Linked DNA regions of Saccharomyces cerevisiae S288C. The protein of the gene in region 2 interacts with the protein of the main gene of each other region in a pairwise test. Each region holds a gene or a part of one and is shown on either strand. Other genes may lie near its edges.

Region 1 (4,940 bases), on a different chromosome or scaffold from region 2:
ACCCTTTTTTCTTAAAAATGTAAGAGGAAATTATGAAATATACTCTGATTTGTTTATTATTGATTAAGAACAATATAATAACCGCTCTGGTAGCTACTGTACATATAATTTGACGGCATATATTGCTCATATATAAAACTACCGCATTACTTCCAGTTGATAGATTTTTAACTCAGTTTCAGTACTGCCAGAACTGCTCATTCGAGATTTTTTCTATTTTTAGAATAGGTAAAATTGCACTTAAATGTATAAGGGATGTACGAAGTGAGTGCCCAGACTGTTACTATGACAATTAAACTAATGTCGATGACCATTTGTTTCGACAACTCCATCTTCATTTTCTTCACGCGCCATACTCGGATGAGAAAGAATCTTTTCTCTAACTATACATTTCCAAACGCAATGATCAAGAAGAAAGCTAAATGTTACTTTGAGTTCAATTACTGAGACATGTCATGGGAATATGAGGAAGAAACAAATCTACGTGTATTATACTCCGTAACATGTAGAGTAAATACCATAGTTACCTATTTACCTGTGTCGATAAATGTTCATTAGCTCATAAGTGATGGGATACATTGCTATTCCTCTGCAATGGAAGCTTCGATATCTCCCTTGGGGTCGTTATGAGAGACGTCTTTAGGGGGGGTTTTGACAACAAACGGATCTACTTTCGTCGATTTGAACTTTCTTGCAGAAACTCCAAGTTTAAATAACTCATTTATTTCCACGAAAGTCTTTCCGGCAGTTTCTGGTAGGTCAACCACAGCCCAGATTAAAGTACAAAAGCATAAGACACCCCAGAAAAAGCCTGACTTAGCGCCCCAGTTCCACTTCTTAGAGTTCAGTTGGTATAAGATGAGAACGCTACATATGATACTGACCACATTATAAGTGTTACGTGCTAGAATGATTGTTTTCGTTCTTAGTCTTGAAGATGGCATTTCAGAGACTAGGCAAAAAACGACCGGGGCAATTCCTAAATTGTAAAAAAATGCTACAGCCATTAAAAGAGAACCACTTCCCATTTTGGAACCGTGCGTACTTGAGCACCCCAAACCGCCAATAATGAAAAAAACAATGGTTTGGAAGGCTAGTCCAAAAGCGTAAAGGTCATATCTACCAAAATACTTTGACGCCCACCAAGATAGAAATGTAGCACAAATACCGAGACAGTATTGAATAATACTAAAAGTGAAGGACATTTCAGTACTAACGCCAGCCTTTTCGTAAAAGTAAGTTGAATAACCTATTAGTATTGAACCACAAGTGGCTTGACCAGCCCAGCAGAGACAAGTAATTCTCGTTCTTCTTCGATTAATCTTGTCTTCAAAACAATCACTATAGGAGCCTTCTTTACTTGTGAGTCTCTTTTCCTTATCTATAGTCACTTTTATTTTGTCCACCTCCAGAGTTACTAGTATTTCTTTTTCAGGTCCCTTGCCGCTTAAAGTTCTTCTAAGTGATCTCCTTGCCTCATCAAACCTTCCTTTTTTAACTAGCCACCATGGAGATTCAGGTGCAAAAAAAATTCCCAGTGCTAAAGGAACTGGCAAAATCCACTGTAGGGCAAATGGTAGTTTATATCCTAATTCTGAATCCGCATATTTTTTTTGAGAATTTTTCATGATTCCAGCTGCAAAAAGTTGTCCAAATAACCAGCACAAGTTTGAATAGGTTGTAAGGTAATATCTCAGAGCCAATGGGCATATTTCAGAAGCGTAAGACACCGTCAAACACTGAAAACAACCCCATGGCATCCCGCACAATGCTTGTCCCACAGCAATCATGCCTAAACTATTGCAAAAGTACAGTATAAAAGTGAAGGCAGCTAAAAAAAACAATGCAATAATCAATGTGTAACGATTTCCAACAAGATCCACGGAGGGCCCCGTTAGCTGTAGCCCCACAATTTCACCTGCCATATAACATAAGGTCAGCCCGATTTGCCATGACGCTGAAATTTCCCATTCTCCAGTTTTGTCATTTTGTGAGCCAAACTTTCTCTGAAAAATAGGCAAGGCGTAGAAAGCTCCAAGAATAGCTGTGTCGTACCCTTCCATGATTAAAGTTGTAGAGACCAATAGTGACCAAGCTGCTGCCTTGGGATATGTATTCAATGCTGTCGCAAGTGGCATTCCTCTTTCACTTTCGTCTGCCTCCTTGGCATCCTCAGTAGCGTCAAATATCTCTGTTATTACTTTATTGCTATCGCTTGGCGCTCTTGTATCCGGACTGAACTCAACATGAACAATATCTAAGCCGTCCTTCTTAGTTTGATCATCCATTTCTATCCAGCTGGGTTCATGCGACTTAGCCTTTCCTGGGTATACATTCGAGTCACTTGTATTTTCCTTTCTTCTGTTTATGAGAAAAGATAAGTTTTTCATAGCTAGGTAATGGCTTTACAAGACCTGTATCTCTATTTGTGTTAGATTTTGTGATGGTAATCTTTGCATAATAATTCCAAGAACAGGCCTCTAAGAATTACAAACAACGATTACAGATGACCCCACCTTTTTTTTATATTCTATAGTCAACACTATCATGAACTTGTGGCATACTCATTGCATATGGCTGACAGGATGTCAAATGCTCCCTTCTACGAAAGATTCTGTGCACGTAAAACGCGGGGTGTGGAATGTCGCGATGACTCTCGAGCAGAGAAAAAGACAAACATATAACGAGCTGATTCCTCTCCAGAAGAACAAAGCCAACATTGATTCAAACTGAGGACTTAATATGATTGACTCTCTGGAAACTGCAACAGTGTGATTATAGATCAGAAATTCATGCTGTAATTTTAGTATATCGACCTGTCGCGATGTTGCAAGCGTGACAGATCTATACATATTTCGCTAAAACTGTCGGTAAAATACCAACACGCTGCACTGCAGACCACAGATTCGAACCGAAGCATATTTTCAGAAATTTACGAGAGGTCTTTATAGTCACCAAAATATCCAAATTGAGTAATTAGAAAGAAAAAAACACACATACTGTAGTCCACAACCTGTTTACGGACAGGTTCTGGCTGATGGGATAACCACTCTACCTGACTGCTCTCCTACTTCATATTTACCTCCCGAACAACGTGAAATCTTTTTGCTTGGAGAAAAACAAGTAAAAAGTATAAATGGAGATGAAAGATCCACCAATAAATTCCAGCTTGATTTTTCAACATATGATGACAAATGTGAGTGCTAAATCTAAGTCGTAAGACAAATAAGAACTTTTACCATAATCAGTATCCTGGGAAAAGTGGTAGAACTACAGTTTATCAAGCTTACCCACAAAGCATTAAATATGCTCCCACAATAACCTCTGGAGTGATATAACAGGTATGACTTTCAAGTTATAGTATATTAAAGATCTTGGAATTGGGCGGTTTAGGCTTGTTCATTTCAAAGCTCGAGTAAGATTTTAGTATACTTTTCCCTATAGAAATATTTCCGACATAGATTTTTTAATATAAGCACTTCTTCCATGACATTTTGTTTCAGTTATCTCTCTTTCGTCGCTACTTGAGAAAACTATATGGTTGTACGAAAAAGAAATGGCCAAAATATTCTTTGGGCCTTATTAATCTCATTACTATTGTAAGAGTTGGCCCTTAATTTTATAGAAACACTGTTTTAAGGCCAAAAAAAAAAGATGCCAAACATAGAAAGGAAATGTCGCTTTACTTGGCTAATTGGCTCTAAATCACAGGTCTTAATACTCGAAACGCCATTGATGTACTGTGCACAATTTCCATTCCGGGTTAATTATAAAGATATCAGCGTTTATTTTCATCCATGGCAATGAAAATTGTAAAATAATCATCATCAAAATTTGATATGGTTGCAATAGAGGGAATGATTTGATTTTTATGAGACTTATACGCATCACCCTGTATTTTTGCAATTACGGCGATTTATAAAACTTATAACGGAATTTAAGAGTTTCATCCTACCAAGCGTAATCATAGATATAAAAATTCTATTGTGCAACTCATATTTGTCATTGAAACAGGGACTTTTCTCCGAAGTTTAATATCTAGTATGAGCTATACACCTTAACCACTCCTTACTTGTAAAGGTACGAAAAAGTTGTCGTTTTAGCGCGCACTTACTGATGGATGCTGAATCAGTATAGTGTTTGACTGCGGCAGTAAACTACTCACAGTAGCAGGCACGTACTATGGAAGTTGTTTCGAGGCGCATGATAGGAAAAAGGGTACCAAAAAGGATTAGAAGAGAAAATTTTCATAATGGGAAGTCACTGACGAGGGTTGGTGGTTATCCGTTTTAAAAAAATATTATGCAATCAAGCTACAACATCCTGTAAATTTTGTAGTAGAAAACTTCTATTATAACGGTTTCTGAATTGGCATATAAAATAGTCAAAAGGTGATCTTTAAATCAACGGTAAAAACAGTGAAGCTGGTCCTGTTGTAGAATCGCCATTTCCTTTGTGGTGATAGGTCTTTAAGTAAAGTAATGGTGAATTTAGTTAATTTGTTAACCAACGCGACTCCAGCTAACTGAGCGCATGGTCTAATACAGTTCCGTTAGAAACATATTTTCATTTTGATGAGGTATCAGTATTTGGCGACTATTATTTGAATGCATCTGTAATCTGGATGAATGAAACCTTTTATGAAACCAGAATTGTCCCAGCTATTATCAATGTCCGTGAATGGCTTGACCATATGGAGGCAAACGATCCTTCACCTAGTGTAACTAACCCACTCGAAACTTCAATTATTATGCCTTTTCAACGGTAGCTCCCGCTTTAATGGAGGATATGAAAGTAGCATAAATGAATTAGAAAAGTGTATTCACTGTTCTGGAATATACATGGTACGCAAGAGATATAAAAATTTATAATAAACGTACGTTATGCCCGAAGTGTATCCCGAACTACGGGTTAAACTAAAGCTTTTTAATTACTAGTAG
Region 2 (5,631 bases):
TATTTTGCTATAACAGCACCATTTTACATAACCTGGATAAGTAATATTTCAAGCCTTCTGCTAGTTGAATAATTCGTATATTTCATAGTTCATAAGCCATCCAATTCGAATTGAGCTCATTGCATCATAGCCAAAAATCGATAAATGCATTAACGCTGTTACCTCCAGGTGATTGCTGTCTTTATGCATTAACGCGCCAATCTTATTCCCTTAAAACATTACGCCGGCAAAACGCTTAATCGCATATCCCAGTTGGCCCGAAAGAGAATGCACATATACAAATATATATGTAAAGGGAAATACCTTGTGACTACACCTATGCCTAAGTTTCAGTATCTGAACTAGGATAATTTCGATTATAACTCTAACATTTTTTACGTTTTCTCCATATTTCGAATTGTTCCTTCTTCAATCAAAATAATAAAAAAAAAAAATCACAAAAATGACTATAGTATTTTGAGCCCAACATGACTGCGAAATTGCTATTAACAATGATTAGTCAGTAGTATTGAATAACTTAGAATTTAAAACTACCTTATACAAGATGGGCATATAAAGGACATGCCAAATGGACATATTAAATACGCTCGATGTACCAGAACATCCAGGAACTTACCATAGAAAAATATGTAACGACTTATAAACTTTAAATAAATTAGAGATTCAATGAATCTCTAATTTTTTCCGCCCGCCTATTGAACTTTTACTTTGTCATTAATCTATTCTGAAATAGGTACAGAGCGACGCCAGTGTAAACATATGTGTGATGGACATCAGCATTCAATGTATATCTTATCACACCAGTTTATCCAAAGATAGATGCAGTTTTGAAATTGGTTACTTAGAATATTTCTACTACATTTCGATAACAAATATAACTATTTTGAATTTAAAAGTTGAGTATCCAAAAATTTTAGAAATACATACAATTACTTCCCAATTACTTCCCAAATATTCTCCCCCCTGGTTTGATATCATAAAAGCACCTTATGGCAACAAGATTCCCGGGATAGTAATGCTATTTTAATGTATATCTATTTCTCGAATACTTGTATCTTTACTCCACTACCCCTATGCAAGAAGATAAGCGATAGTTTTTGTTCCTTCCTCTTCCTACTCTGTTAATTAACTGAAAATTATTTATATTGAAAAGGTACTTGTAGCAAATTAGACAAGGAATTCTCCTGGTATAAAGTTAGAGAAACAGAAATATGAAACGGCCACCCCAGGTATGAAATATTATCTTAAGAAGAGCCATGAACACACATGAATAGATTCTTGAGACATGCTTAGGGTAACAAAGACTGTAACGCCTTGTTGCAATACTGCTTTATTCAAATTTTTAAATTGTACGGAATTGTGGTAAGGAGAATGTGCAAATAACTTAGCATGAAACGGTGCTATAGTTGAATCATTGTATGAGGTAACATCACTTCAACGAAAAGAAGAATAAAATTGACCTGCACATGGAGAAAGCGTAATATATAAAAAATGTTTACAATTTTGGCGCACTATATGGGAGAACAGCTGCTGGATAATATTATGCCCTTACTTCATTTCACCATATCCGTTTACAGTTCAAATCTCGCCGTCGAGCCATAAATTCTCAAAATTCCTTTGCAAATATTTTGCTTACCTGTAACCGGCAGCTTACATTCTTCCGTCATAATTTCTCAGACGGATGACATAAACCATTTTTTCAGAATCCTCGATAACATAATCGATCAAAACAGTAATAAACATTCTCTTGCACAAAATGGACTTTGGCAGCAAATCCTGAAATATTGTGGAGTATTGCCAGAGGTAAAAGCAACGTTGAACAAATTATGACACTAGACCTCTTAGGCATAAAGATGACATCATCTAGGTACTCGTAAAGATCCTAACCACAGATTCCACCTTAAAAGACGACAATAGTAACTTTGTCCTTGATCTGGGTTACTAAATCAGCGATATGATCATTAAAGTGAATATCCCCTTCTTAAAATGTACCAAATATCTTATACGTTTGCAGTTTTTCTTTTTCTTTTTCTTTATTTCTTTGGTAAGGACTAGGTAATTATTTCCGTATTTGGCTCCTTTGGCGCTTAAAAAATCTTGTACGCAAATTTCCACAAGATATTGCGTGACAATTACTATTACTGAAGTTGAACTTGTTTCATGTCTCCGCCTGTGTTAACTCCGTTTTGCTTAACTCCGTCTCGTATTACAGTAAATTCATGATGTGCCTATGAATATGCAGCTAGCCTGCTGCAGGCAAAATTATTTTTAGCTTTGTGCGCTACAGTGGTAGTAACTTAAAACTTAAAAGCTAAAATGCAAAAACAGTAGAGTGCGGGGTATGCTTTTCTTTTGAACGTGCACTGCGCAGAGGCACAATTTAGCAAAGAAGTCAGGCAAGGTAGATGATGTAAACAAACGAGGACTTGTACTGCGCATCTTGAACCTTTCAATATCATAAGTGCAATCAGCTAAAGGTTTGATTTTCCGAATGCTCTGCAAAAAAGTTAAACATGGTTATATAACTCAAGTATGATAACTCCAGTGTTGGCCTGTAATCACCAACTTTCAAACGTATAAAGAAAGTAAGTAATTCATTGTTTGCTTCAGGTTTAGTCTTATTACTATCCATAGAAGTAAAACTATTGATATTATTGACAGAAAAGGAGGAAAGGAAACTAAAGGAAAAAAATGGCAAGCGAACAGTCCTCACCAGAAATTAATGCAGATAATCTAAACAGTAGTGCAGCTGACGTTCATGTACAGCCACCCGGAGAGAAAGAATGGTCAGACGGGTTTTATGACAAAGAAGTCATTAATGGAAATACGCCAGACGCACCGAAGAGAGGCTTTTTAGGTTACCTTATTATCTACTTACTATGCTATCCTGTATCCTTTGGCGGTTTTTTACCTGGTTGGGATAGTGGTATTACTGCAGGCTTCATCAATATGGATAACTTTAAAATGAATTTTGGTTCTTACAAGCACAGTACTGGTGAGTATTATTTGAGCAACGTGCGTATGGGTCTTCTCGTGGCCATGTTCAGTGTAGGATGTTCCATTGGCGGTGTTGCTTTTGCGAGACTTGCTGATACTTTAGGTAGAAGGCTAGCAATTGTAATCGTGGTTTTGGTATATATGGTTGGTGCAATTATTCAGATCAGTTCGAATCACAAATGGTACCAATACTTTGTCGGTAAGATCATCTACGGTCTTGGTGCTGGTGGCTGTTCGGTGTTGTGTCCAATGCTTTTATCTGAAATAGCCCCCACAGATTTGAGAGGTGGACTTGTCTCATTGTACCAACTTAACATGACCTTCGGTATTTTCTTGGGTTATTGTAGCGTTTATGGAACAAGGAAGTATAGTAATACTGCGCAATGGAGGATTCCTGTGGGACTATGCTTTCTGTGGGCTCTAATTATCATCGTTGGCATGTTATTAGTTCCAGAGTCCCCAAGATATCTGATTGAATGTGAGAGACATGAAGAGGCCTGTGTCTCCATCGCCAAGATCAACAAGGTTTCACCAGAGGATCCATGGGTACTCAAACAGGCTGATGAAATCAACGCCGGTGTCCTTGCCCAAAGAGAACTAGGGGAAGCCTCATGGAAAGAACTTTTCTCCGTCAAAACAAAAGTCCTTCAACGTTTGATCACAGGTATTCTTGTGCAAACCTTTTTGCAACTTACTGGTGAAAACTACTTCTTCTTCTACGGAACTACCATTTTCAAATCAGTTGGGCTTACTGATGGGTTTGAGACTTCGATCGTCCTAGGTACAGTGAATTTCTTCTCCACTATTATTGCTGTTATGGTCGTAGACAAAATAGGCCGTCGTAAATGTCTGTTATTCGGAGCGGCTTCAATGATGGCTTGTATGGTCATATTTGCAAGTATCGGGGTAAAATGTCTTTACCCTCATGGCCAGGATGGTCCATCCTCGAAAGGTGCAGGTAATGCCATGATTGTGTTCACATGCTTCTATATATTCTGCTTTGCAACGACATGGGCCCCTGTTGCTTATATTGTGGTTGCCGAGTCATTCCCTTCGAAGGTCAAATCTAAAGCAATGTCAATTTCGACTGCATTCAACTGGTTATGGCAATTCTTGATTGGTTTTTTCACACCATTCATTACTGGGTCTATCCACTTCTATTATGGTTATGTGTTCGTAGGTTGTTTGGTTGCTATGTTTTTGTACGTTTTCTTCTTTTTACCAGAAACAATTGGTCTATCTTTGGAGGAAATCCAGTTACTATATGAAGAAGGTATAAAACCATGGAAATCTGCATCTTGGGTACCACCCTCAAGGAGAGGAGCTTCTTCCAGGGAAACTGAGGCTAAGAAGAAAAGCTGGAAAGAAGTTTTGAAGTTCCCAAAGAGTTTTAATTGATCAATATGCGCGCTTGATAAACATGCTAAGAGATAAATTCTTGAAAAAAAATAGGGCCTACTGTAAAACGAAGTGACACGTAATTTCAAATTTAATCAACAAAAAACTACGAGTTTCTTTGCAAACTCCCTTTTTCGGACTACTAGTACTATATAAAATAACGAGTTATTTAGTGAAAGAAAGCGTTTGGTTAAGGCAACATTGTACGAAGTTCTGTTTCTTTAAGGCAAAGCAGAGTATAAAAAGTAGGATGCTTATGGAGTGAAAACGGAGTGGTGATGAAGATGGGGAAGTCAACATAGGTCCACTTGAGTGCTTATGGAAGATCCTTAAAAATGCATTTCCAGGAACGTAACACTGTACCATTCCTCTAAATAAAGTGTATACAATAATATAGAAATATAGATTCTTCCCAAATATTCAGTTGTTACTATAAAGGGAATATTTGAGCTCGTTATTAGCGTGGCCGCACAAACAACCATCATATTAGAAGAGATAACTTTGTTTCAACTCGGGGGGGCAAACTTTCTCATGCTTCGTTAACTTGGCAAATACAACAAGCATACTTTTTGCGGTGAAAACATTTTGAGGCATGTTTCCACACAACATAATAGCGAATGGAGTAAGATTTTTTTTGTAATACAGTAAAAAGACCTCATATAGGTACCCGTACAAAGTCTCTGACCTCTCTGGGTGACCTGGGTCATTAGTAGTTCAAGGAGCATCTGCCACTAAAAGATTTGTGACCTAACTGTGGTAGTAACCGTTAAAGACACGGTATTGAAACAATGGGTTCAAAACAGTCGAGGGTTTTAGCATTTAAGTCGGCATATGTCCATTTCTATCCTTTTTCCAAGTCTATTGAGTTTCTTTATCTTTTTACTTATTTCCTTTTTGAAAGGTCTTACGACAAAGTTCAAAGCTTGATGAATTGTCTATTACTTTATTTGCTAAATTGAAACTCTGGATGAGTACCAATTCTTCTTTTCATTTTGCGATAATTGACATTATGATTTTTCAACTAATTAACATGATATTGTACATAATTTTTTAATATCAAAGCGCTACGTCCACTGAAACTATAGAACCGTTCATCTGTCGAATCAACATCTCTACAATTAGTACGAAAGCTTAGTTTATCAATTTTTTGTGAAAACTTTGACTAATGACGTATTATTGTGGTGTGCATTACGACCAAAAGGCGGGCTAACAATTCCAAGGAAAAAAGCTGGTGTA

What was found. Proteins that work in one complex are often made in the same cells at the same time.
Region 1: the proteins of HXT15 (region 2) and MPH3 interact in a protein complementation assay, tested with the Saccharomyces cerevisiae proteins (one large-scale study listed by BioGRID).

What each region holds. Positions count from the first base shown.
Region 1 is NC_001142.9:737,427-742,366, forward strand, and holds MPH3 (alpha-glucoside permease), read right to left. Parts: upstream 2,391-4,940; coding exon 582-2,390; downstream 1-581. UniProt on the Saccharomyces cerevisiae protein: High-affinity uptake of maltose and maltotriose. Also transports alpha-methylglucoside, glucose and turanose but not melezitose or trehalose.
Region 2 is NC_001136.10:10,421-16,051, reverse strand, and holds HXT15 (hexose transporter HXT15), read left to right. Parts: upstream 1-2,691; coding exon 2,692-4,395; downstream 4,396-5,631. UniProt on the Saccharomyces cerevisiae protein: Probable glucose transporter.